Anolis sagrei: one gene and its partner. The protein of the gene in region 1 purifies or fractionates together with the protein of each later gene. This does not show direct contact. Links are inferred from orthologs where the notes say so. Each region holds a gene or a part of one and is shown on either strand. Other genes may lie near its edges.

Region 1 (15,776 bases):
GCTCAAAGCCAACCTTAAAAATTCTGGAATAAACACTGAGAACTGGGAAGCCCTGGTCTTTGAGCGGTCCAGTTGGCGGTCAGCTGTGACCAGCAGTGCTGCAGAATTTGAAGAGGCACGAATGGAGAGTGAAAGACAGAAACATGCTAAGAGGAAGGCACGTCAAGCCAACCCCGACCGGGACCGCCTTCCCTCACTGCGGGAGATGATGCAGATCAAGAATAGGGCTCCACAGTCACCTACAGATCCACCCCCAGGATACCACTCTTAGAGGACCATCATCCTTGGACTATGAGGGATCACCTAAGTAAATAAGTAATGATTGAGGGTAGAGTAGCCACGCCTGAAGCCTTCTTGTTCCCTGTTGATTTCCACATCTTGAGATATTCTTTGTAGCAGAATCCTTGTGAACAGTTTATATAGCTGAGAGAGGAATGTAATAGGATGAAAGTTGATAAGGTTTTGTGTGTCCCCATTCTTCATTAGACGTATGGTTTCAGACGTTGTCCAATCTTTAGGTAAGATGGCAAGTATCTATTCTCATTCCGTCCTTTCACGCAGCACCACACCAGAGTCCAGTGATCCAATATAAGAATGTTTATTAAAGAAATAATATAAAAAGGGGAAAAGGGACAAATCTACCAAAGTCAGTACAGATATAAAATGTAGTTCTCAAAAGAAGCAGTAGCAGTATTCCAAAAATGCCAGGATAGAACACAACGCCAAAGAAATCCAAAAACACAGAATCACTCCAAAGATGTATCCATGAACATGAAAACAGGAACTTCTCCAAGGTAAATTCTCCAAAGAAACATAGGTTTAAAACAGGAACATGAAGCAGGGATCTTGACAGTACAGGAACCACGAACTTGGAATCATGAACAGGAGACTGAAACCCTATAGCAACGTTGTCTCCTCTGAAAGGCCTGAAACCAAACCACTTAATTTAAGTCCTCTAATGACATCATGCCTGATGCATCTGGACTTCAGGGTCTTATCTCGGATCCTTTGAGAATGTCTAGTTTGCCGGCTTTTCACTCCCTGCGTTCTCAGGTCTAATCTGTTTTCCCTTGAAAACTCACCATATTCCCGAATCCTTTTCTCAAGGGAACTGGGCATTTATCTGGCTTCATTTTACGTATGGCTGCATCTACCTTACTCAATAAGGGATTTATTCCGTCTCAACATGGGGTTTGGCTTTGACTACCAGCACTTTGGAATTGTATACTTGAGAAATCGCATCTCCTCCTACCAGCTTACATGAGCCCTGAGATAATTGATAGAGGTCCTTCTCTCGTCCCGTTGCTGTCACAAGCATGGTTGGGGAGTACAAGAGAGAGGTCCTTCTCGGTGGTGGCCCCGCGGTTCTGGAACTCCCTCTCCAAGGAGGTGTGATTGGCCCCTTCTCTACTGGCCCTCCGTGCACAGGTTAAAACCTTCCTATGGAAGCAGGCTTTTCCCGATAACCCATGATACACTGCAACAGGTAAGGATAATAGTGAAGGTTGCCTTGGACCTGACAATGGATACATGGTCTAGACATACACAGAGTTTAGGATTTTTAATATAACTAGCTGTCCCCTGCCACGTGTTGCTGTGGCCCTCATGGGGGTTCTGTGTGGGAGGTTTGGCCCAATTCTATCATTGGTGGGGTGCAGAATGCTCTGTGATTGTAGGTGAACTATAAATCCCAGCAACTACAACTCCCAAATGTCAAGATTCTATTTCCCCCAAACTCCACCAGTGTTCACATTTGGGCATATTGAGTATTCGTGTAGAGTTTGGTCCGGATCCATCATTGTTTGAGTCCACAGTGATCTCTGATGTAGGTGAACTACAACTCCAAAACCAAAGGACACTGCCCACCAAACCCTTCCAGTATTTTCTATCGGTCATGGGAGAACTGTGTGCCAAGTTTGGTTCAATTCCATCGTTGGTGGGGTTCACAATGCTCTTTGATTGTAGGTGAACTATAAATCCCAGCAACTACAACTCCCAAATGACAAAATCAATTTTTTTTGAGTGAAGGACATACATTGGGTTGTTTAGGTGTCTTGTGTCCAAATTTGGTGTCAATTCGTCCAGTGTTTTTTGAGTTCTGTTAATCCCACAAACGAACATTACATTTTTATTTATATCGATTTCCTATAGGTCTATCTTGTCTAGACTGATTGTTGGCCTATGCTTTGAAGTGTTTCCATTGAACAAACAATTGCAGGGCGTTCCGATGCATGTGGGAGTTGCAGATTTCAGCTACTTCCAGATATTGATCACTACCAATACTTGGAATTATATCAATATCATTTAATGATATCAATATCAATAAAGGTAGGGGAGGAAGCTTGGTCAGGTGCCATGAATGTGATTTCAGCTCAGGCTTCAAGCAGTTTCGCTGGGGTCCTTTCTACACTGCCATAAAATCCAGATTATCAAGATAGATAATCAATATTCTTTGCTTTGAACTGGATGACGTGTCTACACTGCCATACAATCCAGTCCAAAGCAGTTGACTTGGATTATATGGCCGTGTAGAAGGCTTCTGCAGCCACGTCGTCTGTCCCTTTGCCCGTTGGACTACACTACCAGGTCACGTGTGATCCAGGACCAAGTGATCCCAGTAGATCTCATAGTTCCTCTCATCTGTCCACTGTACCTCTAGTAGATTTTAGAAAAATGGCTTATAGTGGAAACAAGGATTGGCGAGAAAACTTCAGTGGAGACCTCTTTCCCCCTCATAATGACTCTTCCAGGGGTGGATTCCCCTTCCGAGGGGGAGATTCCCCTCACTTCCTATTGTCTCACCCCTGTTCTTAACTAGGAGTCGTTTGCAAGTTAGATATTTGTAACTCAGGGACGGCCTGGATATGTATAACGGGTGTTAGGGTGCATGGGAAAACCACTTGTTAGAAAACAGTAGCTTATCATGGAATGGCACAACACGACCTTGTTAGCTATCCATCTTGGCTTATCTTGTCTGGACTGATTGATGGCTTTGTTTTGAAGTGTTTCCAATTAACAAACAATTGCAGATCACTCCGATGCATATAGAAATCGAAGTTTTCAATGACTTCCAGGTACTGATCACTATCAATACTTGGAATGATATCAATACCATTAAAGGTGTAGGTGGAGGGTTGGTAGGATGCCATGAACGTGATTCCAGGTCAGGCTTTAAGCAGTTTGGCTGGGGGCCCTTCTACACTGCTACATAATCCAGATTATCAAGGTAGATAATCCACATTCGCTACTTTCAACTGGATGATATGACTACGCTGCCATATAATCCACAATTACTAACAAGGCCAGGGAAATTCACTCCTGGAAGAGTTATCATGGAGGAAAGGTATCTCCACTGAAGCTTTCTCACCAATTATTGTGAGGAGCCTCAGGTGGCAGTGGGTTAAACCCCTGTGCCGGCAGGACTGAAGACCGACAGGTCGCAGGTTCGAATTTGGGGAGAGGCGGATGAGCTCCCTCTATCAGCTCCAGCTCCTCATACGGGGACATGAGAGAGGCCACAAGGATGATAAAAACATCAAATCATCCGGGCGTCCCCTGGGCAACGTCCTTGCAGACGGCCAATTCTCTCACACCAGAAACGACTTGCAGTTTCTCAAGTCGCTCCTGATACCAAAAAAAAAACACAACAATTATTGTTTTCACTACAAGCCAAATTTTCCAAAATTCAATTATCACAGGGACAGGGGCACAGACACCCATTGAGGGCTATCTATCTATGTGGCAGGTACTGGCTTGTTCAATAGACTCTCCTATACAGTTCCATTTTGGCGGGAAACCTTAGCATCGAACGGTTGTGTTGTTAAAAGTGTGATGGTTGGTCAATGCGACTTAAACAACGTGCAGTCATTGAATTCTTGACAGCAGAAGGTATCACCCCAATAAATAATTCCCTTCAAAGTGATTGGGACAGTTATGTTAATTTTGTTGTTATTCATGTCCCACATTTATCACGAGACTCAAAACAGCTGAATATGTTGCATGCATTGTTTTTGTTTGGACTTGAACCCAAACACGTTCAAGTTGCTTCCAAGGAAAATGCAGGTTTCACCCCAAGGCCTGAAGGTATCACAGAACGCCATTGTGTTGACTTCCCAGGAAAAAAAGTAAACAGGAATGCAACCAATGCCTCGAAGGCGTGTTTTATATGTGTTGCAATGTTACCTTTCATTGTTCCAGAAGGAGGAGTCAATAAAGACACGGATCATGCAACGAAACGCCTTTTCTTTGGCAATTTAATTCTTGTCCCTTGCAGCCAAAGGATTGCTTTGAAACAAACACATTCGGCGGAGTGAGAAAAGGAAATAACACACAGAACGCCTAAACTGTCAGTGCTCAGAACAGCATCTCATGGAGTTCTTCAATAATAATAACAATTATAATAATCTGGTTAGCCTATCATGTAATGGTCTTTAATAATAATAAGTTTAATAATAATAATAATAATAATAATAATTATTATTATTATTATTATTAGAAACACAACAAGATGAGTCCACAGCAGACACTCCGCTGGCTGTTGTATTGGATCACACGTTGGACACTTCCCATGTGTCTAGGACTGTGTGATGTATCGGCAAATAATGCATGCAGATCCCAGTAAGGTGGCCTTTTGCAGCTGACAGATGGTAACTTTCTTAGCGCCGATTGTGTTTAAGTGCAGGCCAATGTCTTGAAGCACTGCATCCAGTGTGCCAATCACCACTGGGACCCCCTTGACTGGCTTGTGCCAGAGTCTTTGCAGTTTGATCTTTAAATCCTTGTATCGTGTCAGCTTTTCCAGTTGTTTCTCTTCAATCCTGCTGTCACCTGGGATTGCGACATTGACAATCCATACTTTGTTTTTTATTACGATTGTGAGGTCAGGAGTATTGTGCTCCAGAACTATTACTACTACTACTATTACTTTTATTATTATTATAATTAATGGATGGATGACATCCTTGAAGTGACTGGATTGACCTTGAAGGAGCTGGGGGTGGTGACGGCCGACAGGGAGCTCTGGCGTGGGCAGGTCCATGAGGTCATGAAGAGTTGGAAACGACTGAACATATAGACAACATTATTATTATTATTATTATTATTGGAAAAGCTGACACAATATGAGGATTTAAAGATCGAACTGTAAAGACTCTGGCACAAGCCAGTCAAGGTAGTCCCAGTGGTGATCAGCACACTGGGTGCAGTGCCTAAAGACCTTGGCCTGCACTTAAATACAATCGGCGCTGACAAGATTACCATCTTCCAGCTGCAAAAGGCCACCCTACGTGGATCTGCATGCATTATTCGCTGATACATTACACAGTCCTAGACACTTGGGAAGTGTCCGACATGTGATCCAATACAACAGCCAGGAGTGATCCTGTCTGCTGTGGACTCATCTTGTTGTGTTTCAAATAATAATAATAATAACAATAATAATAATATGTCCGACGTGTGATCTAATACAACAACCAGCAGAGTGATCTTGTTTGTTGTATACTAATCTTGTTGTGTTTCAAATAATAATAATAATAATAATAATAATAATAATAATGGAATCAGAAGGTTAAATAAACCCAGAAACAGGGCTAACATTGGAAACATAAAATGTGCATTGGCCAATGTAATTTCTATTTTTTATTGGCTTCTCTATTATTATTATTATTATTATCATTATTATTATCATTATTATTATTATTATTATTATTATTATTATTATTATTATTATTTTAGAAACACAACAAGATGAGTCCACAGCAGACACTCTGCTGGCTATTGTATTGGATCACACGTTGGACACTTCCCAAGTGTCTAGGAATTATTATTATTATTATTATTATTATTATTATGCAAAAGGATGCATTCATGGAACTGGTTTAAAGCAGCTTAACATCTACACTGCAGACTGAATGCAGTTTAACACCTTTTTAACTGCCACGGCAAGGCAATGAAAGCCCTGGGAGTTGCAGTTTTACAAAGAATGCAAACTACAGATCAAATTATTTCTATAGCAGCTAACGTGGTACCAAACGTCATTCATTCTACAGTGTAGAGATGCATCCAAGGTCTGCTCGGGGTTCTCTTATGACCTTGGAAGGATTAAAGAAACGGAACCAAATCATTGTTTCTCCACGAGATTCTGCAGATAGTAAGGTGCCAGTTATTCCTCCATTCAGTTAACTGAAAAACACAAAGTCAGCGGACCTGATGGGATCCCTGTTGAAATCTTTAAAGGTGGTAGACCTGAGCTGACACAACACCTCCAGCAGCTCAATCATTGTTTCTTCACGGGTTCTGCAGATAGCGAGTTGCCAGTTATTCCTCCATTCAATCATCTGAAAAATAACAAAGTCAACGGACCTGATGGGATCCCTGTTGAGATCTTTAAAGGTGGTGGACCTGAGCCTTCACAACAACTCCAGCAGCTCAAACATTGTTTCTTCATGGGTTCTGCAGAGAGCGAGTTGCCCGTTATTCCTCCATTCAATCACCTGAAAAATAACAAAGTCAGCGGACCTGATGGGATCCCTGTTGAAATCTTTAAAGGTGGTGGACCTGAGCTGACACAACAACTCCAGCAGCTCATTAAAAAAGTGTGGACGATCGAGAAAATCCCAGCAGGCTTCATCATCACCCGTCTCTGGTGTCATCTGTCTCCCTCCTCCCTGGTTTTGACGAAGGCCCCCATCTGCTTGGTATGGGTGTTCTGGAGCTGCTCCAGCTGCCTCTGTCCACGGCGGAGAAGGTACTCTACGAGCAGGACCTCTGTCCGTGGGATCTGTGCGTTCTGCCGGAACTCGGCTCGGATCTGCGGCAGGAAGCCCGGCTTGCCTTTCCCGGCCCGAAGGAAGCTGCGGTACAAGGACAGCACCTGCCTCTGGAGCTTACTGTGGCGGCCCATGGAGCAGCTCCTCCCAGTTGCAAGGATGGAGTGCTCCAGGTAAGCAAAGCCTGAGGAACAAAGACAAAGTGTCAGGATAAGAGTGAGGGGAATTAAATAGGCCAACCTGTATGTGTCGTTCTACTTTTAATACGTTTTGGAGATCTCAAATTGCATTGTTGTTAGGTTCTTGTGGGTCTTTTCGGGCTATAGAGCCATGTTCTAGAGGCATTTCTCCTGACGTTTCGCCTGCATCTATGGCAAGCATCGTCAGAGGTTGTGAGGTCTGTTGGAAGTAGGAAAAATGGGTTATATATCTGTGGAATGGCTGGGGTGGGGCAAGGAGCTCTTCCCTGCTGCAGTTAGGTGTGAATGTTTAGCTGATCACCTTCATTAGCATTTGAAGGCCTGCCTGAGCCTGGGAAAATCCGTTGCTGGGAGGTGCTAAACAACAGAGAGGAAAAAACCAGGCACAGATTAACACCTCCCAGCAACGGATTTTCCCAGGCTCAGGCAGGCCTTCAAATGCTAATGAAGGTGATCAGCTAAACATTCACACCTAACTGCAGTAGGAAAGAGCTCCTTGCCCCACCCCAGCCATTCCACAGATATATAACCCATTTTTCCTACTTCCAACAGACCTCACAACCTCTGAGGATGCTTGCCATAGATGCAGGCGAAACGTCAGGAGAGAATGCCTCTAGAACATGCCTCTATAGCCCGAAAAAAACCCACAAGAACCTAGTGATTCCAGCCATGAAAGCCTTCGACAATGCATTGTTGTTGTTTTTAATGTTGCGAATCACTTTGTATCTCCAATAATAATATAATAGCCCTTTTATTATTTGAATATCCGCCCTACAATAAGTAATAGCAGCCCTATAATAACAATAGAAGCTCTTTCATTATTTTAATAGCAGCCCTATAATAATAATAATAATAATAACAATAAGTCTCTTTATTATTTTAATAGCAACCCAATAATAGTAATAATAATATAATAGCCCTTTTATTAATTGAATACCAGTCCTACAATAATAATAAGTAGTATTAGCATCTCTGTAATAATAATAGAAGCTCTTTTATCACTTTAATTTTAATAGCAGCCTAATAATAATAATAATCCTTTTATGTTAATACCAGCCTAATAATAATAATAACTCTTTTATTATGTTAATACTAGCCTAAGAATAATAATTAGTAGCCCTCCTATTATTTTAATAGAGGCCTAATAATAATAACTTTTATTATGCTAATACTAGCCTAATAATACTAATTAGTAGCCCTTCTACTATTTTAATAGCAGCCTAATAATAATAATAATAATAGCCCAGGGATGTAGTAAATCCATATTGGCTGGCCTTCAGGATTTAGGGGGAAAGGGGTCAAGGGCAGGTCCATCATGCAACCTCATGGCAACCCCACCAGTCCCAGAGCTGGTCCTGCCCGTCCCTTCTCTTTGCCGGACTCCCACCCAGGCTGGCCCCCTTTGGGACCCCCTCCTGCCCTTCCCACCGGGCTCCCTTCTCGCTCACTCCTTCTCTCTTCCGGATTTCAGCTCCTAGGCAGGCCCAAGCCCGCCATTGCAGAAACCTTGGCGCGCCATCTGAGCCTCCTGCGCGCTTCCCATTGGCTCCCTGGCCCTAGAGGGGGCGTTCCCCAACTCTTGTCGCTCCGCCCATTCAAAGCACGTGTAGGCTTGGAGGCCCCGCCTATTTGGAATCATAGAATCCTAGAGTTGGAAGAGTCCAATCCCATTCTGCCAAGAAGCAGGACAATTGGGTTGTTGTAGGTTTTTCCGGGCTATATGGCCATGTTCTAGAGGCATTTTCTCCTGACATTTCGCCTGCATCTATGGCAAGCATCCTCAGAGGTGTATTGGAAGTAGGAAAATGGGTTTATATATCTGTGAAAAGACCAGGGTGGGACAAAGGACTCTTGTCTGCTGGAGCTAGGTGTGAATGTTTCAACTGACCACCTTGATTAGCATTTGATTGCCTGGCAGTGCCTGGAGCAAACTTTGTGTTGAGAGGTGATTAGCAGGACAATTGCGTTCAAAGCACCCCCGACAGATGGCCATCCAGCCTCTGTTTCAAAGCCTCCACCACACTCCGGGGCAGAGAGTTCCACTGCTGAACAGCTCTCAGAGTCAGGAGGTGATTAGCAGGACAATTGCGTTCAAAGCACCCCCGACAGATGGCCATCCAGCCTCTGTTTCAAAGCCTCCACCACACTCCGGGGCAGAGAGTTCCACTGTTGAACAGCTCTCACAAAGTTCTTCCTAATGTTCAGGTGGAATCTCCTTTCGTGTAGTTTGAAGACATTGTTCCATTGTGTCCTAGCCTCCAGGGCCTCCCTCCTCCCTATGACTTCCTCTCACATCTTGATCCATGGCCCTCATCATGTCTCCTTTCAGCCTTCTCTTCTGAAGTCTAAACATGCCCAGCTCTCTTTAAGCCGCTCCTCATAGGGCTTGTTCTCCAGATCCGTGACCATTTGAGTCACCCTCCTCTGGACACATTCCAGCTTGTCAACATCTCTCTTGAATTGTGGTGCCCAGAATTGGACACAATATTCCAGGTGTGGTCTAACCAAAGCGGAATCGAGCATGGGGAGCAGGACTTCCCTGGATCTAGACACTATGCTCCTCTTGATGCAGGCCAACATCCCATTGGCTTTTTTTGCCACTACATCACATTGTTGGCTCATAAGGCATTGAAGGCATTGTTCCATTGCATCCTAGTCTCTGTTGTTCATTCTTTCATTCGTCTCCGACTCTTCGTGACCTCATGGACCAGCCCACGCCAGAGCTCCCTGTCGGCCGTCACCACCCCCAGCTCCCTCAAGGTCAGTCCAGTCACTTCAAGGTCTCTAGGGCAGTAGAAAACAAGCTTGCTCCCTCCTCCCTATGACTTCGCCTCATATCCAGCCTCTGTTTCAAAGCCTCCACCACACTCCGGGGCAGAGAGTTCCACTGCTGAACAACTCTCAGAGTCAGGAAGTTCTTCCTCATGTTCAGGTGGAATCTCCTTTCCTCTATTTTGAAGCCATTGTTCCATTGTGTCCTAGTCTCCAGGGAAACAGAAAACAAGCTTGCTCCCTCCTCCCTATGACTTCCCCTCACATATTTATACATGGCCCTCATCATGTCTCCTCTCAGCCTTCTCTTCTTCAGGCATTTTGGGTGAACTGCCTAATAATTTCACAAACCCCGATGACATCTAGGCATTTGATAATGCAACAATGTTAACAGTTCTAATCACAGAGGAGGAGGGTTTTTGGTGGGAGGATTCCACCAAATGATTTTAGTCGCTCTCCTCTGGACACATTCCAGCTTTGTCAACATCTCCCTTCAATTGTGGTGTCCAGAATTGGATGCAGTGTGATTCCAGGCAGAATAGAGCATGACTTCCCTGGTTCTGGACACTCGACTCCTATTGACGCAGGCCAAAATCTGTCTTCTCCTGCACAGAAACCCTGAGGGCACCTAGACGGTCCTAACAATGGGTTGTTGTAGATTTTTTCGGCCTCTATGGCCATGTTCTAGAGGCATTCTCTCCTGACATTTCGCCTGCATCTATGGCAAGCATCCTCAGAGGTAGTGAGGACTGTTGGAACTAGGAAAATTGGGTTTATATATCTGTGGAAAGACCAGAGTGGGACAAAGAACTCTTGTCTGCTGGAGCTGGGTGTGAATGTCTCAACTGACCACCTTGATTAGCATTTGATGGCCTGGCAGTGCCTGGAGCAATCTTTTGTTGAGAGGTGATTAATGTTCCTGATTGTTTCCTCTCTGTTGTTTTGCTGTTTTAATTTTAGAGTTTTTTTAATACTGGTAGCCAGATTTTGTTCATTTCCATGGTTTCCTCCATTCTGTTGAAATTGTCCACATACTTGTGGAATTCAATGGTTTCTCTGTGTAGCCTGACATGGTGGTTGTGAGAGTGGTCCTCACAATATTGCTGGACATAGGAGATTGGCTTTACATAATGTGATAGGCTTTATGGCTCCTAAACTATAGAATTAATGCAGTTTGAACTACCTTGGCTTTTTAAGTTGGCTTTTAAGATAATTTCAGGGGGTCCTGGGGTAATAATAATAATAATAATAATAATGAACAACTTTGGGTTGCTGTGAGTTTTCCAGGCTGCCTAGCCATGTTCCAGAAGCATTCTCTCCTGACCTTTCGCCCAGTTCTACGGCAGGCATCCTCAAAAGTTGTGAGGTCTGTCGGAAACTACAACTCCCATCATTCCATAGCTTTGAGCCAAGGCAGTTCCAAATGGGATCATAGAAGACCTAGAGCATGAAAGGACCCACAAAAGCCACCTTTCTGCCAGGCAGGAAGATACCATCTGATCCCTCCTAGCAGATGGCCATCCAGCCTCTGCTTAAAAACCTCCAGAGGGCAATCCAACACACTCCCAGGCAACAGCATATTCTAGCATGCATACATACATACAGTGGGGGGGGGGGAGTATTTAGTTAGATAGGAATTGTACAAGTTCTCCCACTTAAAAAGATGAGATATTGTCTCTCATAGTTGAGGTCTACCTAAGATGTCAATCACAGGCCTCTCTCATATTTTTAAGTGGGAGAACTTGTACAATTCCTATCTGACTAAATACTTTTTCCCCCACTGTACACACACACACATATCTAAAAGGTAAAGGTTTCCCTTTGCTGTTAAGTCCAGTCATGTCCGACTCTAGGGGTTGGTGTTCATCTCCATTTCTAAGTCGAAGAGCCAGCATTGTCCACAGTCACCTCCAAGGTCATGTGGCCAGCATGACTATCTGGAGGTCCTGTTACCTTCCCGCAGAAGTGGCATCTATTGATCTACTCACATCTGCATGTATACGAACCCACACAATATCTTTGTTCATCTGGAGAGGCCCTGCTCTTGATCCCGCCAGCATCGCAGGCGCGATTGGTGGGGATGAGAGGGCCTTTTCGGTGGTGGCCCCTCGACTCTGGAACTCACTCCCTAAGGACATCAGACAGGCCCCAACTCTGGCAGTTTTCAGGAGGAGTTTGAAGACGTGGTTGTTCCAGTGTGCCTTCCCGGATTAATGATCCCATAGCACTTTGTCCCGCTAAAGCACTTTACATTTTTTAGGTCTGCCCATATGTCTCTCCACAAACACCACTATCACCTGTTCGTCCATGTTCAGCACTATTTACAATTTTAATTTTACATTTGGCCTTCCCATAGTTTTAATTGTATGTTGTCTTATTGATAATGTTATATGTTTATGTTTTATTTTAATTGCTTATATTGTTGTGATTATTGCTTGTATTGTGTGTTCGGGCTCGGCCTCATGTAAGCTGCACTGAGTCCCTTGGGGAGATGGTAGTGTTGTTAAATAAAGTGTTGATATTATTATTATGTTTTCATACTGCTAGGTTGGCAGAAGCTGGGGCAACAGTGGGAGCTCACCCGCTCCCTGGATTCGGACCGTCGGCCTTTTGGTCAGCAAGTTCCACAACTCAGTGGTTTAACCAAAACCTTTGGATGGCATAGGGAAGGGTTTACATGCCTGTGGTGTTTGTTTTGCTATCTGTGCCCTTCAGCTTTCACTGCCTGAACATCAAACAAAAAGTGGGTGCTAGAAACAATATCATACAAAAGCTGACTGGCACAACCTGGAGATCACAGCCAGACACAGTGAAGACATCTCCCCTTTGCTACTCTGCTGCTGAGTACGCATGCCCAGAGTGGAACACATCTCACCACGCTAAAACAGTAGATGTGGCTCTTAATGAGACATGCCGCATTATCACGGGATGTCTGCGCCCTCCACCACTGGAGAAATTACACTGTCTAGCCCAGGGGTCCTCAACCTGGGGTCCCCAGATGTTTTTGGCCTACAACTCCCAGAAATCCCTGCCAGTTTACCAGCTGTTAGGATTTCTGGGAGTTGAAGGCCAAAAACATCTGAGGACCCCAGGTTGAGAATCACTGGTCTAGCTGGTATCGCACCACCTGACATCCGCCGGGAAGTAGCAGCCAATAGTGAAAGGACAAGACAGAGACATCTCCAGCTCATCCCGTTTGGATATCAGCCAGCACGTCAACGACTTAAATCAAGACATAGTTTTCTAAGATCTACAGAGGCACTCTCTGGAACACCTCAGCAAGCTAGAGTCCAAAAGTGGCAGGCTCAAACCCAGAACCTCAACCAATGGCTGATACCAAATGAGAGACTCCCCCCTGGGCACACAGAGGACTGAGCGACTTGGAAGGCGCTGAACAGAGTGCGCTCTGTCACCACGAGATGCAGAGCCAACCTCAAGAAATGGGGCTACAAAGTGGAATCCATGACATGCGAGTGCGGAGAAGAGCAAACCACTGACCACCTGCTGCAATGCAACCTGAGCCCTGCCACATGCACAATGGAGGACCTTCTTGCGGCAACACCAGAGGCAGGCTCGTAGCCAGGATTTCGATTCGGGGGGGGGGGGGGGGGGCTGAGTTTGTTTCGGGGGGGGGGGGGGCTGAGTCTGAAAGAGGGTCTACGCTAGCAAACCTTTTGTATCGTTACCCCAATACCCCCATGCATATGGGATATATTGAGTATGGTGATCAGATCATGATATGAATAAACATAACAGTTTAAATAATGCACCAGTAAGTCCTTTTCGCGAACCACCATGAGAATTTCGGAGGGGGCTGAAGCCCCTCAAGCCCCCCCCCCCCCCCCGGCTACATGCCTGACCAGAGGCACTCCAAGTGGCCAGATACTGGTCAAAGGATATTTAATCAACTACCAAGCTTGCAAACTTTGTGTTTTGTCTGTTTGTTTGTTTTGTTAAAAATGTAATACAACTGTCTGCTTGCTCCTGACACAATAATAAATACCTCCAAGGTTATGTGGCCAGCATGACTGCATGGAGCGCCGTTACCTTCCCACCAGAGCGGTCCCTATTGATCTACTCACATTTGCGTGTTTTCGAACTGCTAGGTTGGCAAAAGCTAGAGCTAACAGTGGGAGCTCATGCTGCTCCTCGGATTCGAACCTGCAACCCTTTGATCATCAAGTTCAGCAGCTCAACGGTTTAACCCACTGCATCTACAAACATTTGTAGATGTTTGTAACTCTGGGACTGCCTGCAATGTGACCTCCCTCCCCAATTTTAGGACAATGCATGCCGAAGGTCAAATGAAATAAAACTCTCCCACACATTAATTCTTGTCTGGAATGTTTCTCCCCCCATTCAAAACATTTTTAATTTGTAATCATCACGTAGCATCTGCCAACAACACACACACTCACAAAAGTATCACAGAAGGGAAAAGAAAAGGCATGGTGTTGGAAATGTCCGTCTGGAATTGTTATATTTTTAAGGGCAGGGAAAGGCTTCGTACCCCCATCCGCTTCAAGGGCCACTTTCGGAAACGAGGGCCCTTGGCACACAAAAAAACCCACAAACAAAACCCTTCTCCATCTTCAGGGTTTCGACTACAAGGCCAACGCTCACATTCTCTATGTTACGGAACTGGTATGGATCAGGACACACTCAAAGGGATGCGGCACCTTTGCCGAATGAAACAAGAGGCAACTAGGGAAAAAGGGGGGAAAAAACAACCGACACGAGTCAAAAGGACACACAAGTGGCTTCCGCATCTTCTCTCTCCGGCTGGCCCCACATTCTCCCGGGTGGCGTCGGGACGCAGCCGGGCTTCGCAGCAGCAACCAGGACAAGTCCCACAACGGAGCCGGCAGCCGCCTTCTCCTCCGCTTCCGTTTCCGCCCGTCCTTCCTGTCACATCTCATCGTCCAGGCCGTAATCCTCTTCCGGGAAGTCCCCCACCACCACGTGCTGTGGCTTCACAAAGGCCCCGTATTTTGGCTGGCACTCAAAGTACCGCTTTCCACCGACGCTGCCAAGAGGAAGGGAAATTGCAGTGAAACTCTCACACCATCAGGTTTCTGCAATATCTTTTGTGTTGAAAGGCACTTTTTCTCATTTTAAGATCTATTGCATTACGTTTAACTTTGCATAAAAGTATCATTTTCTCCATCTTTCTATATATATAAAAATGCTCTGCATAATGAGTACCTTAAAAACAAAAGAACCAATGAACGAAATCACACCAAATTTGGCAACAAAACATCTCACTACGCCATCACTCAAAAAATTATGATCTTGTCATTTGGGAATTGTAGTTGTTGGGATTTATAGTTCACCTACAATCAAAGAGCATTCTGAACTCCAACAATGATGGAATTGAACCAACCTTGGCACACAGGACTCCCATGACCAACAAAAATACTAGCAGCGTTTGGTGGGCATTGACCTTGAGTTTGGGAGTTGTAGTTCACCTACATCCAGAGGGCACTGTGGACTCAAATAATGATGGATCTGGACCAAACTTGGCACGAATATTATATATGCCCAAATATGAACACAGATGGGGTTTGGGGGAAATAGACCTTGGCATTTGGGAGCTGTAGTTACTGGGATTTATAGTTCACCTCCAATCAAATACCATTCTGAATGAACACCACGAATTACAGAATTGGGGCAAACTTCCCACACTGAACCCTCATGACCAACAGAAAACACTTAAGGCCATCCAATCTAACTCCCTTCACCAGGGCAAGAAAACGTAATCAAAGCCTTCCTGACAGAGAGCCATCCAGCCATAGATATAGATATATATGATTCACACACACACAGATAAAGTATCATAGATTTGAAAGGGACCCCTCAAGAAGGGCAATGATATGTTGCATGTTCCAGAGTAGGCAAACCAGACAATCTCTACGTCAACACTGTCAAAGAAACAGCAAGAAATACTGTTTACCCACAAGCAGAAAGACATTACATATATTAGAAACAAGCACTTTCTAATTACTTTATTTTCCAGATCACCAGACTGGGCCACAGC
Region 2 (15,821 bases), on another chromosome or scaffold:
ATATATGGTAGACAAATAATACAATATTTTTGGTAGCTTCACCTAACGAAAGCGGGTTCCACGAGGGTTTCAGGAGGCTTCCGGGCGCGGGGGATTCTGCACACAGCACACGCCGGTTCCGGATCCATCGGTTCTGGAAAGAGCCGCTTGTTTACCCGGTAGCGGAAGACGCCTAGAACCGAAATACATGGGGAGGAAAAGTCAAGTCATTCAATGATGGTCAGTAGAACTCTAGATCCCATTTTCAGAACACAATCATACATTGATGGGACGTGGGATCCGTGTCGCGACTCGAGGTCTCGAAGCTCTCCAACCTGCAGAGAGGAAAGAGGGAGGTAAACAAACAAACAAACAACAGGGCTTCGAGATTTTGGGTCTTTCCCTTGTCTGTTGTTCACTACTGTCAGCCCAAGTTTGAGTCCGACATTCAAAACAGATCAAGAAAAATGGCTTGTTCAATTTTGGACTGAAATCCGGAGTGGATCCGGGGCGCTCACCACGAGTCCCGGTCGCCGAGGCAGTCCTTCCGGTTCACCTGCCGGAACTCCTGGAGTTCGGAGAAGTACTGATCCGGTTTCTCCGTGACGGAAGAATCCATATCAAGGAGTCCTAGAGAGCGTAAGGGAGGAGACCATCATCCCCAAAGGAGAGGGAGACGTAGGAAGAGGCAGATCATACATTAAAAATAATTAAACAATATTATTATTACTACTAGTAGTAGTAAAAGTAGTAGTATCCATGCTTTGGTAGTAATAGAAATATTATGTATTATTATTATTATGGAGATGTAGGAAGAGGCGGATCATACATTAAAAATAATTAAACAATATTATTATTACTACTAGCAGTAGTAAAAGTAGTAGTATCCATGCTTTGGTAGTAATAGAAATATTATGTATTATTATTATTATTATTATTATGGAGACGTAGGAAGAGGCGGATCATACATTAAAAATAATTTAAAAATATTATTATTACTAGTAGTAGTAGTAAAAGTAGTAGTATCCATGCTTCGGTAGTAATAGAAATATTATGTATTATTATTATTATTATTATTATGGAGACGTAGGAAGAGGCGGATCATACATTAAAAATAATTTAAAAATATTATTATTACTAGTAGTAGTAGTAGTAGAAGTAGTAGTAGTATCCATGCTTTGGTAGTAATAGAAATATTATGTATTATTATTATTATTATGGAGACGTAGGAAGAGGCGGATCATACATTAAAAATAATTTTAAAATTTTATTATTACTACTAATAGTAGTAAAAGTAGTAGTATCCATGCTTCGGTAGTAATAGAAATATTATGTATTATTATGTATTATTATTATTATTATTATTATTATGGAGACGTAGGAAGAGGCGGATCATACATTAAAAATAATTTAAAAATATTATTATTACTACTACTAGTAGTAAAAGTAGTAGTATCCATGCTTCGGTAGTAATAGAAATATTATGTATTATTATGTATTATTATTATTATTATTATTATGGAGACGTAGGAAGAGGCGGATCATACATTAAAAATAATTTAAAAATATTATTACTACTACTAGTAGTAGTAAAAGTAGTAGTATCCATGCTTTGATAGAAATATTATGTATTATTATTATTATTATGGAGATGTAGGAAGAGGCGGATCATACATTAAAAATAATTTTAAAATATTATTATTACTACTACTACTAGTAGTAAAAGTAGTAGTATCCATGCTTTGATAGAAATATTATGTATTATTATTATTATTATGGAGACGTAGGAAGAGGCGGATCATACATTAAAAATAATTTAAAAATATTATTATTACTACTAGTAGTAGTAAAAGTAGTAGTAGCCATGCTTTGATAGAAATATTATGTATTATTATTATTATGGAGACGTAGGAAGAGGCGGATCATACATTAAAAATAATTTAAAAATATTATTACTACTACTAATAGTAGTAAAAGTAGTAGGAGTATCCATGCTTTGGTAGTAATAGAAATATTATGTATTATTATTATTATTATGGAGACGTAGGAAGAGGCGGATCATACATTAAAATAATTTAAAAATATTATTACTACTAGTAGTAGTAAAAGTAGTAGTATCCATGCTTTGATAGAAATATTATGTATTATTATTATTATTATTATTATGGAGACGTAGGAAGAGGCGGATCATACATTAAAAATAATTTAAAAATATTATTATTATTATTAGTAGTAGTAGAAGTAGTAGTAGTATCCATGCTTCAGTAGTAATAGAATTATTATTATCTATCTATTATTATTATTTTCCCAAGGTGACCCAGACATGACCTCCCACCTGACCTGCGATCCAGTCGTATCCGAGGAAAGGCCGGGTGGACCTTACTCCTAGGGGGGTCGCATGTTCTTCCGGGTCGGACACAAAGGTCACGCGAGGGGCTTCATTCTAGGAAAGGAAAAGGATGCTTCTGAATGGCGGGGTCCTATAAACGTACCCCGGAGGACCCAGGAAATGCCTAGAGGCGCACCTTCGGCTTCTCTTTCTGATGCGGCGTCAGCAGGATGGGCTTGGGCGCCGGCGGCATCTGAACTCTCGCCCTCGGGCGCCTTTCCTCGACCGCCACTTCCTCCTCTTTCCTGAGGCAGATATTTTCCACTTCCTGGGAAGGTCCGGAAGCTTCCGACGACGGCACCCAAACTATAGATTGTGGACACCGGTCTCGGCTCTCCTTCTGGCAACAAAAGCAAAACCATTATTGGACTGGATGACCTCTGAAGGTGCCTTCCAACCTGATGATCCTCTAGGACTAGATGACCTTCAGAGGCACCTTCCAGTTCTATGATTGGACTAGATGACCTTTGTGGGTCCCTTCTAATTCTACGATTGGACTAGATGACCTTTAGAGTTGCCTTCTATATCTATGACTGGACTCGATGACATTTGGGGTCCCTTCCATGTCCAGACTAGATGACCTTCAGAGGTCCCTTCCAGTTCTATGATTGGACTAGATGACCTTTGTGGGTCCCTTCTAATTCTACAATCAGACTAGATGACCTTTGTGGGTTGCCTTCTATGTCTATGACTGGACTAGATGACCTTTGGGGTCCCTCCCATCTCTATGTTTAGACTAGATGACCTTTGGGGTTCCCTTCCAACCCTATGATTGGACTATATGATGTTTGGAGATCCCTACCGTCTCTAGAATTGGACTAGATGACCTTCAGGTTCCCTTCCAACCCCATGATTGGACTAGATGACTTTTGGGGTCACTTTCATCTCTGTACTCAGAGTAAATGACCTTTGGAGGGGGGGGGTCCAATCCATCTCTGTGATCAGACTAGATGACCTTTGGAGATCCCTTCCATCTCTATGATTGAACTAGATAGCCATTGAGGCCCCTTTCAACCCTACAATTGGACTATATGACCATTGGGGTTCCCTTCCACGCTGTAATCAGACTAGATGATCTTTGGGGTCCCCTTCCATGATCAAACTAGATGATCTTTGGGGTCACTTCTATCTGTATGACTGGACTAGATGACCTTTGGAGATCCCTACCATCTCTAGAATTGGACAAGATGGCCTTCAGGTTCCCTTATAACCCCATGATTGGACTAGATGACCTTTACAGGTCCCTTCCATCTCTAAGATAGGGCTAGATGACTTTTGGGGTCCCTTCCAACCCCAAGATTGGACTAGATGAGTTTTGGGGTCACTTTCATCTCTGTACTCAGAGTAGATGACCTTTGGGGGTCCCTTCCAGCCCTACAATTTGACTAGATGACCATTGGGGTTCCCTTCCACTGCTGTAATCAGACTAGATGATCTTTGGGGTCACCTTCCACCTCTATGATCGGACTAGATGACCTTAGGGGTCCCTTCCAACGCTATGATCGGACTAGATGATCTTTGGAGGTCCCATCTCTACGATTGGACTAGATGAGCCTTGGGGACCCTTCCAACCCTATGATCGGACTGGAGGACCTTTGGGGTCCCCTTCCTATCATACCTCCTTCTGCAGGGTTGTGGACGATGGGACTCGCTTCCCTAAGGCTTCTTGGTTCGCTTTCAGCTTCTGCAAGAGATCCTGGTTCAAGAGGCGAAGCTTCTCCAAGTCCATCTTCCGGCTTCCAGAAATAGTAAGATTATTATTATTATTATTATTATTATTATTGATTAAGTAAGTTGGTTACTATTATCTATATTTATATATATATCTATCTATCTATATAATAAAAGTCAAAGTTTGTATGCGGAGGACAAAAGTGTGGTGGGAGGAGTATGTGCCAGCGTTCTGATTGGCTGCCGCTGTGGTGCTATTTGCATATGGTCTCTGATTGGCCAGCTTCAATAGGAGCCCCTGGTGGAGAAAAGAAACGGGGACATGAGAAGGAAATTTGCATATGGTCTCTGATTGGCCAGCCCCAATTCCAAGATTCCGAGATGACAAAGAGAGGGGCGGAGTCAGAAAATTACCACTACAGACCAAACTTGGCACACAGAGCCCGCAAGACCCACTCGACATCCTACTGCAGTTTGGAGGAGGATGAACCATGGATGATGGGACTTGCAGTCCCATCACTCACATTCTGAGACCGCTGTTAACCTCATCCAATGACTGATCAGGACCAAACTTGGCACATAGACCTCTCATGACCCACTTTACGTCCCGGTGTGGTTTGGTGGACCATGGATTATGGGACTTGCAGTACCTTTGCTCAATTCCTGAGACCACTGCAACCCTCATCCAATTACCGATAAAGACCAAACTTGGCACACTGAGTCTCCATGACACACTCTACATCCTGGTGCAGTTTAAAGGAGGATGCACCATGGACGATGGGAGTTGCAATACCTGCACTCCCTTCCTAAGACCATTACAACTGCCAACAATGATGGATCAGGACCACAATTTACACAGAGAACCCGCATGACCCACTCTACATCCTGGCGCGGTTTGGAAGAATTTGACAATGGATGATGGGACTTGCAGTCACTTCACTCACTTCCTGAGACCACTGAGATCCTCGCCAATGACTGATCAAGACCAAACTTGGCACATAGTGTCCCCATGACCCACTCTACATCCTGGTGCACTTTCAAGGAGGACAGACCATGGATGATAGGACTTCAAGTACCTCCACTCCCTTCCCAAGACTGCTGCAACCCTCATCTAATGTCCGATCAAATCCAAACTTGGCACACAGAGCCCCCATGACCCACTCTACATCCCACTGCGGTTTGGAGTAGGGCATACCATGGATGATGGGACTTGAAGTCCCTTCACTCACATTCTGAGACCTCTGCAAACCTCATCCAATGACTGATCAAGACCAAACTTGGCACATAGACCTCTCATGACGCACTTTATGTCCTGGTGTCATTTGGAAAAAAATGGAGATGGATGATGGGATTTGCAGTAACCTCACTCATTTTCTGAGACCCTCGCCAATGACTAATCAAGACCAAACTTGGCACACACTTTTGAGGAGGACAGACCATGGATGATGGAACTTCAAGTACCTCCACTCACTTCCCAAGGATACTATAACCCTCATTAATGACCGATCAAGACCAAACTTGGCACACAGAACCCCAATGACCCACTGTACACCCTAGTGCAGTTTGGAGGACAGACCATGGATGATGGGACTTAAAGTACCTCCACTCCACTGCAACCCACATCTAATGACCGATCAAGACCAAACTTGGCACACAGAACCCCAATGACCCACTGTACACCCTGGTGCAGTTTGGAGGACAGACCATGGATGATGGGACTTAAAGTACCTCCACTCCACTGCAACCCACATCTAATGACCGATCAAGACCAAACTTGGCACACACAGCCCCCATGACCCACCCTGCATCCCGGTGCTGTTTGAAGGATGGACGATGGATGATGGGACTTGCAGTACCTTCACTCACTTCCTGAAACCACAACAACCCTCATCCAAATACCAATAAAGACCAAACTTGACACAGAGAGCCCCCATGCCCAACTCAACATTCTGGTGAGGTTTGGGGGAAAACAGACTATGGATGATGGGACTTTAAGTACCTTAACTCACTTTCTGAGACCACTTTGACCCTCATCCAATGACTGATCAAGACCAAACTTGGCACACAGAGTCCCCATGACCCACTCTATATCCTGGTGCAGTTTGGAGGAGGATGGACAATGGATGATGGGACTCGCTGTACCTTCACTAACTTCCTGAGACCACTGTGAGCCATATAAATAACTGATAAAGACCAACCCGGGTCCCCAAGCTATATATAAATTAGACACACAGCAACATAAAACAAATGGATATTTAAATTAAATATATTTGTGCCTGTACATATAATAGTTGGAAGAGTGGAATAGGAATATAAATAGCAATAAGGAGTGTTTCAATGCAAACCTGAAAGCACAACAGAAGCCCAGGACTTGAACGTTGGTTTCCCTGTGACGTAAGCAACGCCTCGCGCCCTGATTGGCTAGTTCCCGCCTGAGGTTTCCTTTTCACATTCCACGCCTCTTAAAGGGGCCGCAACCTCTTTCCTTGCCCACGTGGGGTGCCTTATAGGACAATATGGTAGTAATGGAAATAGAATAATATCTACACCATAACATAACTAATGTTATTAATCATTAATAACATTCAGGTCTCGGCGGTGACCAGGGGAGCATTTGCACAGCTAAAGCTTGTGCGCCAGCTGCGCCCGTACCTTGGGAAGTCTGACTTGGCCACGGTAGTCCACGCTCTGGTTACATCCCGTTTAGACTACTGCAACGCTCTCTACGTGGGGTTGCCTTTGAAGACAGCTCGGAAGCTCCAACTAGTCCAACGCTCGGCAGCCATGATTTTAACAGGAGCGGAGCACAGGGAGCATACAACCCCCCTGTTGCGCCAACTCCACTGGCTACCGATCTGCTACCGGGCTGAATTCAAAGTGCTGGCGTTGGCCTTTAAAGCCCTAAACGGTTCCGGCCCAAGCTACCTATCTGACCGCATCTCTGCCTATGAACCCACCAGGACTTTGAGATCTTCCGGGGAGACCCTGCTCTCGATCCCACCTGCTTCTCAAGCTCGGCTGGCGGGGACGAGAGATAGGGCCTTCTCGGTGGTGGCTCCTCGGCTGTGGAACGCCCTTCCTACGGACATTAGACTAGCACCATCTCTAATGGTATTCCGCAAAAAGGTGAAGACCTGGATGTTTGTGCAGGCGTTTGAGTAATTTAGTGCAATCTGGTAATGGAACATAGGAATGGAACAATGGACGACGAATCTGGACTACACTTGGATGATGAGAAGATTGGGTACGGTTGTTTTTTGTAATAATTGTGCATTGTAATTGCTTATTGGTAATTTATGGATAATGTGTTAAGTCAATTGTTATATGTTGTATGGAACCACTGCTGTTTCTACTGTTTTTACTGTTTGTGAACCGCCGTGAGTCACCAATATTATTAATAGCATTATTAATAAATAGAATATACTAATATTATTAATATTTATATTTTATTTATTTACTTTGCTTATATACCGCTGTATCTCAAGCCCGAAGGCGACTCACAATAACATTACTAATAAATATAATATACTAATATTATTAATATTTATATTATACCAATATTATTAATAACATTATTAATAACTATAATATACTAATATATTAATAGTATTAATACTTATATTATATTAATATAATTGATAATATTTATAAATATATATACTAATATTATTGTTAATATTAAATATCATATACTGATGTTATTATTGATAATTCTTCTTCTTCTTCTTCTTCTTCTTCTGTTCTTCTGTAATAATACTATTTTTAATAATACATATAATATACTAATATTATTATACTGCTATAATATAATACTAATATGATTAATACTAATATTATTGTTAATATTAATAATAAATATAATATACTGATGTTATTATTGATAATAAATATAATGTAATAATACTATTATTAATAATACATATAATATACTAATATTATTATAATATAACATTAATATGATTAATAATATTAAATTTTTCCTACTATTATAGAACAAAAGTACTAATAGTGTTAAGAGCATAATGATAATATCTATCTATCTATCTATATATATTATCATTTAATATAATAATATATAATATATAATTATATATAATATAATAATATGATAATACTTTTTGTTATTATTTCTCTTTTTGGGGGGGCTGGACTGGATGACCTTTGGGATTCCCTCCCTAGAGAAGCCTGGGAGCGAAGGGAGGGAGAACCCAAGATGGCCGCCAGCTGAGGCTTCTTGCCCCTTCCCAAGATGGCCGCCGGCTGAAGTTCAATATAGCTGCGGACTGAGAAGGGCCCTTCCCAAGATGGCCGCCGGCTGAAGTTCAATATAGCTGCGGACTGAGAAGGGCCCTTCCCAAGATGGACGCCGGCTGAAGTTCAATATAGCTGCGGACTGAGAAGGGCCCTTCCCAAGATGGCCGCCGGCTGAAGTTCAATATAGCTGCGGACTGAGAAGGGCCCTTCCCAAGATGGCCGCCGGCTGAAGTTCAATACAGCTGCGGACTGAGAAGTGCCCTTCCCAAGATGGCCGCCGGCTGAAGTTCAATATAGCTGCGGACTGAGAAGGGCCCTACCCAAGATGGCCGCCGGCTGAAGTTCTATATAGTTGCGGACTGAGGAACGGCCCTTTCCAAGATGGCCGCCTTTTCTAGGACGCGTGCTCCCTTTTTCTCCTTCCCCGCCCTTACCGGAAGTGGTTACCACGGACCCTTCCGGAGAGAAGGAAAGGACAAGATGGCGGCGGTGACCGCGGCGGTGAGGGCGAGCGCGGCGACGGCGGCGCGGATCAAGCGGTTCGCGGTGTACCGGTGGGACCCGGACAAGCGCGGAGAGAAGCCCCGGATGCAGACCTACGAGGTTGACCTCAACAAGTGAGTCCTCGCAGCGGGAGGGCCCGAAAAGAGGCGCGCACCGCCTGACTCCCTGACCAACTTGAGTGCTTTGAGTAGGCCTTGAGTTGTCATATGCGTCTTCCGGGCTGCTTGACCCTCTCCTGACGTTTCCCCCAGGCAGGAAGCAGCCAGGCTTTGAAGCTGCGAGGCCATTCAGCGCCAATCAAGCTGGCCAGTGAGCTATTCTTGCTTATTACAAGACAAACTGAAATTATACAATTATACATTATTAAATTAAATTATTAAATTAATTTAAATTATTAAATTATACAAACTGAAATTAAATCCAGACAAGACAGAGGTACTCCTGGTCAGTCGCAAGGCCGAACAGGGCATAGGGTTACAGCCTGTGTTGGATGGGGTCGCACTCCCCTTGAAGGCGCAGGTTCGCAGCTTGGGTGTGATCCTGGATTCATCGTTGAGCCTGGATCCCCAGGTTTCAGCGGTGACCAGGGGAGCATTTGCACAGCTTAGGCTCGTGCGCCAGCTGCGCCCGTACCTTGGGAAGTCTGACTTGGCCACGGTGGTGCACGCTCTGGTCACATCCTGCCTCGACTACTGCAACGCTCTCTACGTGGGGCTGCCCTTGAAGACGGCCCGGAAGCTTCAGCTAGTCCAGCGCGCGGCAGCCATGTTACTAACTGGAGCGGGACGCAGGGAGCATACAACGCCCTTGTTGTTCCAGCTCCACTGGCTGCCGATCTGCTACCGGGCCCAATTTAAGGTGCTGGTGTTATCCTACAAAGCCCTAAACGGTTCCGGCCCAAAATACCTTTCGGACCGCATCTCGGCCTATGAGCCCACGAGGACTTTGAGATCGTCTGGGGAGGCCCTTCTCTCGATCCCGCCTGCTTCACAGGCACGTCTGGCGGGGACGAGAGAGAGGGCCTTCTCGGTGGTGGCCCCCCGGCTGTGGAACACCCTCCCTGTTGACATCAGACAGGCGCCCTCCCTTATGTCCTTCCTTAAGAGCCTGAAGACATGGCTATTCGAGAAGGCATTTAACTGAGTGCTACAGTAACTGGAATGACAACTGGAACGGTATATGGACTACGAGATTGGTTATGATTCCACGATAAGATGGAGCGGATTATTTTTAGTATAATTAGATGATTGTGCGTTAGTGATATGTTGGTTTTTTGTCGTCTTGGCTTTATTGTAAATTGTCTTTTATATGTTGTACACCGCCGTGAGTCACCCTAGGGCTGAGAACGGCGGTTAATAAATGCAGCAAATAAATAAATAAATAAATAAATAAATATTTATTTACTGTGCTTATAGACTGCTGTTCTCAGCCCAGGGGCAACTCAAATTGAAATTGAATCCAGACAAGACAGAGGTCCTACTGGTCAGTCGTAAGGCCGAACAGGGAATAGGGTTACAGCCTGTGTTAGACGGGGTTACACTCCCCCTGAAGACGCAGGTTCGCAGCTTGGGAGTGATCCTGGACTCATCGCTGAGCCTGGAACCCCAGGTCTCGGCGGTGGCCGGGAGAGCTTTTGCACAATTAAAACTTGTGCGCCAGCTGCGCCCGTACCTTGGGAAGTCGGATCTGGCCACGGTGGTCCACGCTCTTGTCACATCCCGGTTGGATTACTGCAACGCACTCTACGTGGGGTTGCCTTTGAAGACTGCTCGGAAACTACAACTAGTCCAGTGAGAAGCAACCAGATTGCTCACCGGAGCGACGTACAGGGAGCACACCACCCCCCTGTTACATCAGTTCCACGGGCTGCCGATCCAATTCCGAGCATAATTCAAAGTGCTGGTTTTAACCTACAAAACCCTATATGGTTCCGGCCCAGTGTATTTGTCCGAACGGATCTCCCTCTACATCCCATCTCGAAATTTAAGATCATCCGGGGAGGCCCTGCTCTCGACTCCGCCACTGTCACAAGTGAGGTTGGCGGGGACGAGGAGCAGGGCCTTCTCAGTGGTGGCCCCTCACCTGTGGAACTCACTCCCCGGGGAAATTAGATCAGCGACCTCCCTTCAGACGTTCAGGAAAAAACTGAAGACCTGGATATGGGACCAAGCTTTTGGACATGCTGGCAGCTAAAGGAAGATCCGACGACAAACATGGACGAATTGAATGGAATGGATACACGGAACTCTGAACACTGAGCATGAGATTGTTTTGCTATTTTATTATGTACTAATGTTTTTAACCTGTTAACTGTCTAAATTGTTGTACGTATTGTTTGCTTATTGATTCAGGCATCGAATTGTGCCGTTGTTTGTAAGCCGCCCTGAGTCCCCCCTCGGGGGTGAGAAAGGCGGGGTATAAGTAATTGAAATAAATAAATATCAAAACCATCGTCATCAACAACATCAAAAATCTCAATATCAGTAATACAAAACTACAAAAAGCCATTCGCGTCGTCTCATCGTTAAACCACAATCCAGTATCGTTTTCCGTTGTTCCATTCCTGTCGTCATTACCAAATTATTGCACTTCTTGTTCGAACGCCTTCTCGAACAGCCAAGTCTTTAGTTTCTTGCGGAATGTCATCAGGGAGGGCGCCAGTCTGATTTCCGCGGGAAGGGTGTTCCACAGCTGAGGAGCCACCACCAAGAAGGCCCTGTCTCTCGTCCCCGCCAGGCATGCCTGTGAGGCAGGCGGGATCGAGAGCAGGGCTTCCCCGGACGATCTCAAAGTCCTGGTGGGCTCATAGGCCGAGATGCGGTCAGATAGGTATCTTGGGCCGGAACCGTTTAGGGCAGGGGTCAGGAACCTTCGGCCCTCCAGGTGTGGTGGACTTCAACTCCCACAATTCCTTGGGCCAAGGTAAGCCTTTGGGGCGAATGCCGAGCCTCAAGGAATTGTGGGAGTTGAAGTCCACCACACCTGGAGGGCCGAAGGTTCCCCATGCCTGGTTTAGGGCTTTATAGGCCAACGCCAGCACCTTGAATTGAGCCCGGTAGCAAATCGGCAGCCAGTGGAGCTGGAACAACAAGGGCGTTGTATGCTCCCTGCGTCCCGCTCCTGTTAGTAACATGGCTGCTGCACGCTTATTCAATTTGCTTATGCAATGGATGACGAATCTGGAACATGTTTTTGATGACAAGACGACAGTGAATGGGTTGTGTAATGTGTTAGGTTGTTAACTGTTTCTATACCGTAGCACTAAATTTTTGCTGTTCGTATTTGTTGTGAACCGCTGTGAGTCGCCTTCGGGCTGAGAACAGCGGTATATAAGTAAGGTAAATAAATAAATAAAATAAATATTATGTTGTCGCTTGCTGTAAGCCGCCCCGAGTTCCCTTTGGGTGGGCAGTGGGAGATCAATAACGCTGTATTATTACTATTATTGTTATTATTATGACTGTTGTTATTCTTGCTTTCCCGGCAGATGCGGCCCGATGGTGCTGGACGCCCTGATCAAGATCAAGAACGAAATAGACCCCACGCTCACCTTCCGGCGCTCCTGCAGGGAAGGTCGCGATCGCCCTTGAGTAGCAGTAGCAGTATTATTATTATTATTATTATTATTATTGGCCAGTCTGTGGTCCTATGTTGTTGCTGTTGTTGTTATTACATGGCTGTAATTATCCAATAGTTTTATTATGACTTTGATCTATATTCCAGTATTATTATTATTATTATTATTATTATTATTATTGGTCTATTGATGATCCTATACTATTATTATTATTATTATTGGTCAGTCTGTGGTATTATTATTATTATTATTATTATTATTATTATTATTATTGGTCTGCCTATGATCCTATGTTATTACTATTGTTGTTGGTCTGTCTATGGTCCTATAGTATTATTATTATTATTATTATTATTATTATTATTATTATTATTGGTCTGCCCATGACCATATATAATTATTGTTGTTGGTCTGTCTATGGTCCTATAGTATTATTATTATTACTATTATTACTATTATTATTATTGGTCTACCTATGATCCATCATCATCATCATCATCATTGTTGTTGTTGTTGTTATTGGTCTGCCTATAATCCTATATTACTATTGTTGTTGTTGGTCTGTCTATGGTCCTATATTATTATTATTATTATTATTATTGGTCTGCCCATGACCATATATAATTATTGTTGTTGTTGGTCTGTCTATGGTCCTATAGTATTATTATTATTACTATTATTATTATTACTATTATTGGTCTACCTATGATCCATCATCATCATCATCATCGTTGTTGTTGTTGTTGTTGTTGTTGTTATTGGTCTGCCTATGATCCTATAATATTATTGTTGTTGTTGGTCTGTCTATGGTCCTATATTATTATTATTATTATTATTATTATTATTATTATTATTACTAATATAGGACCATACTACTACTACTACATGGCTGTGATGATCCTATAGTATTATTATTATTATACTTATCTATGCTCTATTATTATTATTATTATTATTATTACATGGCTGTAATTATCCAATAGTATTATTATGACATTGATCTATATTCCAGCATCATCATTATGAATATTATTAATATTGGTCTATCAGTGATCCTATATTATTATTATTATTATTGGTCAGTCTGTGGTACAATATTATTATTATTATTACTACTACTACTACTACATGGTTGTGATGATCCTATACTATTATTAATATATTGATCTATGCTCTATTGTTATTATTTTTATTTTTATTATTGACCAGTCTGTGGTCCTATGTTGTTGTTGTTGTTGTTACATGACTGTAATCATCCAATTGTATTATTATTATTATATTGATCTATGTTCCAGCATCATCATCATGATCATCATCATTATTATTGGTCTATCGATGATCCTATACTGTTATTATTATTGGTCAGTCTGTGATACTATATTATTATTATTATTGTTATTATTATTACTACATGACTGTGATGATCCTATAGTACTACTGATAGAGAGAGCTCATCCTCCTCTCCCCGGATTCGAACCTGCAACCTATCTAACAACAACAACAACAACAACAACAACAACAACAACAATGGATCATAGGTAGACCAATAATAATAATAATAATAATAATAATATAGGACCATAGACAGACCAACAACAACAATAATAACATAGGATCATAGGCAGACCAATAACAACAACAACAATGATGATGATGATGGATCATAGGTAGACCAATAATAATAATAATAATAATAATAATACTATAGGACCATAGACAGACCAACAACAATAATAATTATATATGGTCATGGGCAGACCAATAATAATAATAATAATAATAATAATAATAATAATAATAATATAGGACCATAGACAGACCAACAACAATAGTAATAACATAGGATCATGGGCAGACCAATAATAATAATAATAATAATAATAATAATAATAATAATGGATCACAGGTAGACCAATAATAATATAGGACCATAGACAGACCAACAACAATAATAATACTATAGGATCATGGACAGACCAGTAATAATAATAATAATAACAACAACAATAATAATGATGGATCATAGGTAGACCAATAATAATAATAATAATATGAGACCATAGACAGACCAACAACAACAACAATAATATATGATCATGGGCAGACCAATAATAATAACAACAACAACAACAACAATGATGATGGATCCTAGGTAGACCAATAATAATAATAATATAGGACCATATACAGACCAACAACAATAATAATATAGGATCATGGGCAGACCAATAATAATAATAATAATAATAATAATAATAATAATGGATCATAGGTAGACCAATTATTATTATTATTGGTTTGTCTACCTACCTCAGGGGGTTGAGAAGGGCAGAGTACAAATATACAAAATATAAATAAATAAATAAATAAATAAAGGAACAGGTCCCAACTCAGGCCAATTGGGCCGTGTGGACAGGAAGGGTCCGACCTGGCTGAGCGCCCTCTCCTTCTTCCCTGCAGGGATCTGCGGCTCCTGTGCCATGAACATCGGAGGCGGGAACACCCTGGCCTGCACTAAGCGCATCGACACCGACCTCGGACGCACCACCAAGATCTACCCGCTGCCCCACATGTTTGTGGTCAAGGACCTCGTTCCCGTGAGTGGCAAGCAGGCCTGAGGAATCGTCGGGATGGGGGCAGAGGGGAAGGGTCTCGCTCTCGGGGCCTTCAGGGTCAAGCACGCATCCCTTGACGGGCGCCCCTCTTCCTCCCTCTCAGGACCTGAGCAACTTCTATGCCCAGTACAAGGCCATCCAGCCCTTCCTGAAGAAGAAGGACGAGTCCCGCCAAGGCCAGGAGCAGTACCTCCAGTCCATCGAGGACCGGGAAAAGCTGGTCAGCTCCTGCCTCCCTCCTCCATCCCCACGCCTTTCTGGGGCCCCACACGGAGCCCCCACTGCGCCAAGGGAGGCCCCAGGCTCAGCTCTTCTCCTCCTCCCTTCTCTCCCTCCCTGCAGGACGGCCTGTACGAATGCATCCTCTGCGCCTGTTGCAGCACCAGTTGCCCCAGTTACTGGTGGAACGGGGACAAGTACTTAGGCCCCGCTGTTCTCATGCAGGTAAGCAGAGCACACCTCAGTAGGTGTTAGTAAGCCTCAGTGTGAGGTAGGCCTCAGAATGAGCACGCCTCAGTAGGTGTTTGCGGGCCTCAGTGTGAGGTAGGCCTCAGAGTTAGTAAGCCTCAGTGTGTGGAGGGACTTTTGTTAGTAGGCCCACTCACCCAACCAATTACTGCCATTGTTGTCATTATACTTCAGTATAAGTAGGTGTGCCTGTAGCTTAGTACGCCTCAGTGTTAGTTGCCCTCAGTATGAGAGAAGCTTCGGTATGAGAAGGCCTCAGTACAAGAAGGCTCCAGTGTTAGTTTGCCTCAGTATGAGCACGCCTCAGTAGGTTTTAATATGCCTCAATGTGAGATAGGCCTCAGAATTAGTAAGCCTCAGTGTG

What was found.
Region 2: the proteins of SDHAF1 (region 1) and SDHB purify together in Homo sapiens (co-immunoprecipitation; 3 studies listed by BioGRID and IntAct, with this or other methods). This does not show direct contact. The link is inferred for Anolis sagrei from reciprocal best matches to the Homo sapiens genes SDHAF1 and SDHB.

Annotation. Positions count from the first base shown.
Region 1 is NC_090035.1:77,670,726-77,686,501, forward strand, and holds SDHAF1 (succinate dehydrogenase assembly factor 1, mitochondrial), read right to left. Parts: upstream 8,527-15,776; 5' UTR 8,416-8,526; intron 6,952-8,415; 5' UTR 6,902-6,951; coding exon 6,647-6,901; 3' UTR 4,765-6,646; downstream 1-4,764. Other genes in the region: tubulin-folding cofactor B, read right to left, coding at 14,648-14,765.
Region 2 is NC_090033.1:7,877,272-7,893,092, reverse strand, and holds the start of SDHB (succinate dehydrogenase [ubiquinone] iron-sulfur subunit, mitochondrial), read left to right. Parts: upstream 1-8,739; 5' UTR 8,740-8,773; coding exon 8,774-8,910; intron 8,911-12,284; coding exon 12,285-12,370; intron 12,371-14,834; coding exon 14,835-14,971; intron 14,972-15,092; coding exon 15,093-15,209; intron 15,210-15,331; coding exon 15,332-15,433; intron 15,434-15,821. Other genes in the region: MIIP (migration and invasion-inhibitory protein), read right to left, coding at 43-172, 262-314, 498-609, 2,320-2,422, 2,505-2,708, 3,987-4,097. UniProt on the Homo sapiens protein: Iron-sulfur protein (IP) subunit of the succinate dehydrogenase complex (mitochondrial respiratory chain complex II), responsible for transferring electrons from succinate to ubiquinone (coenzyme Q).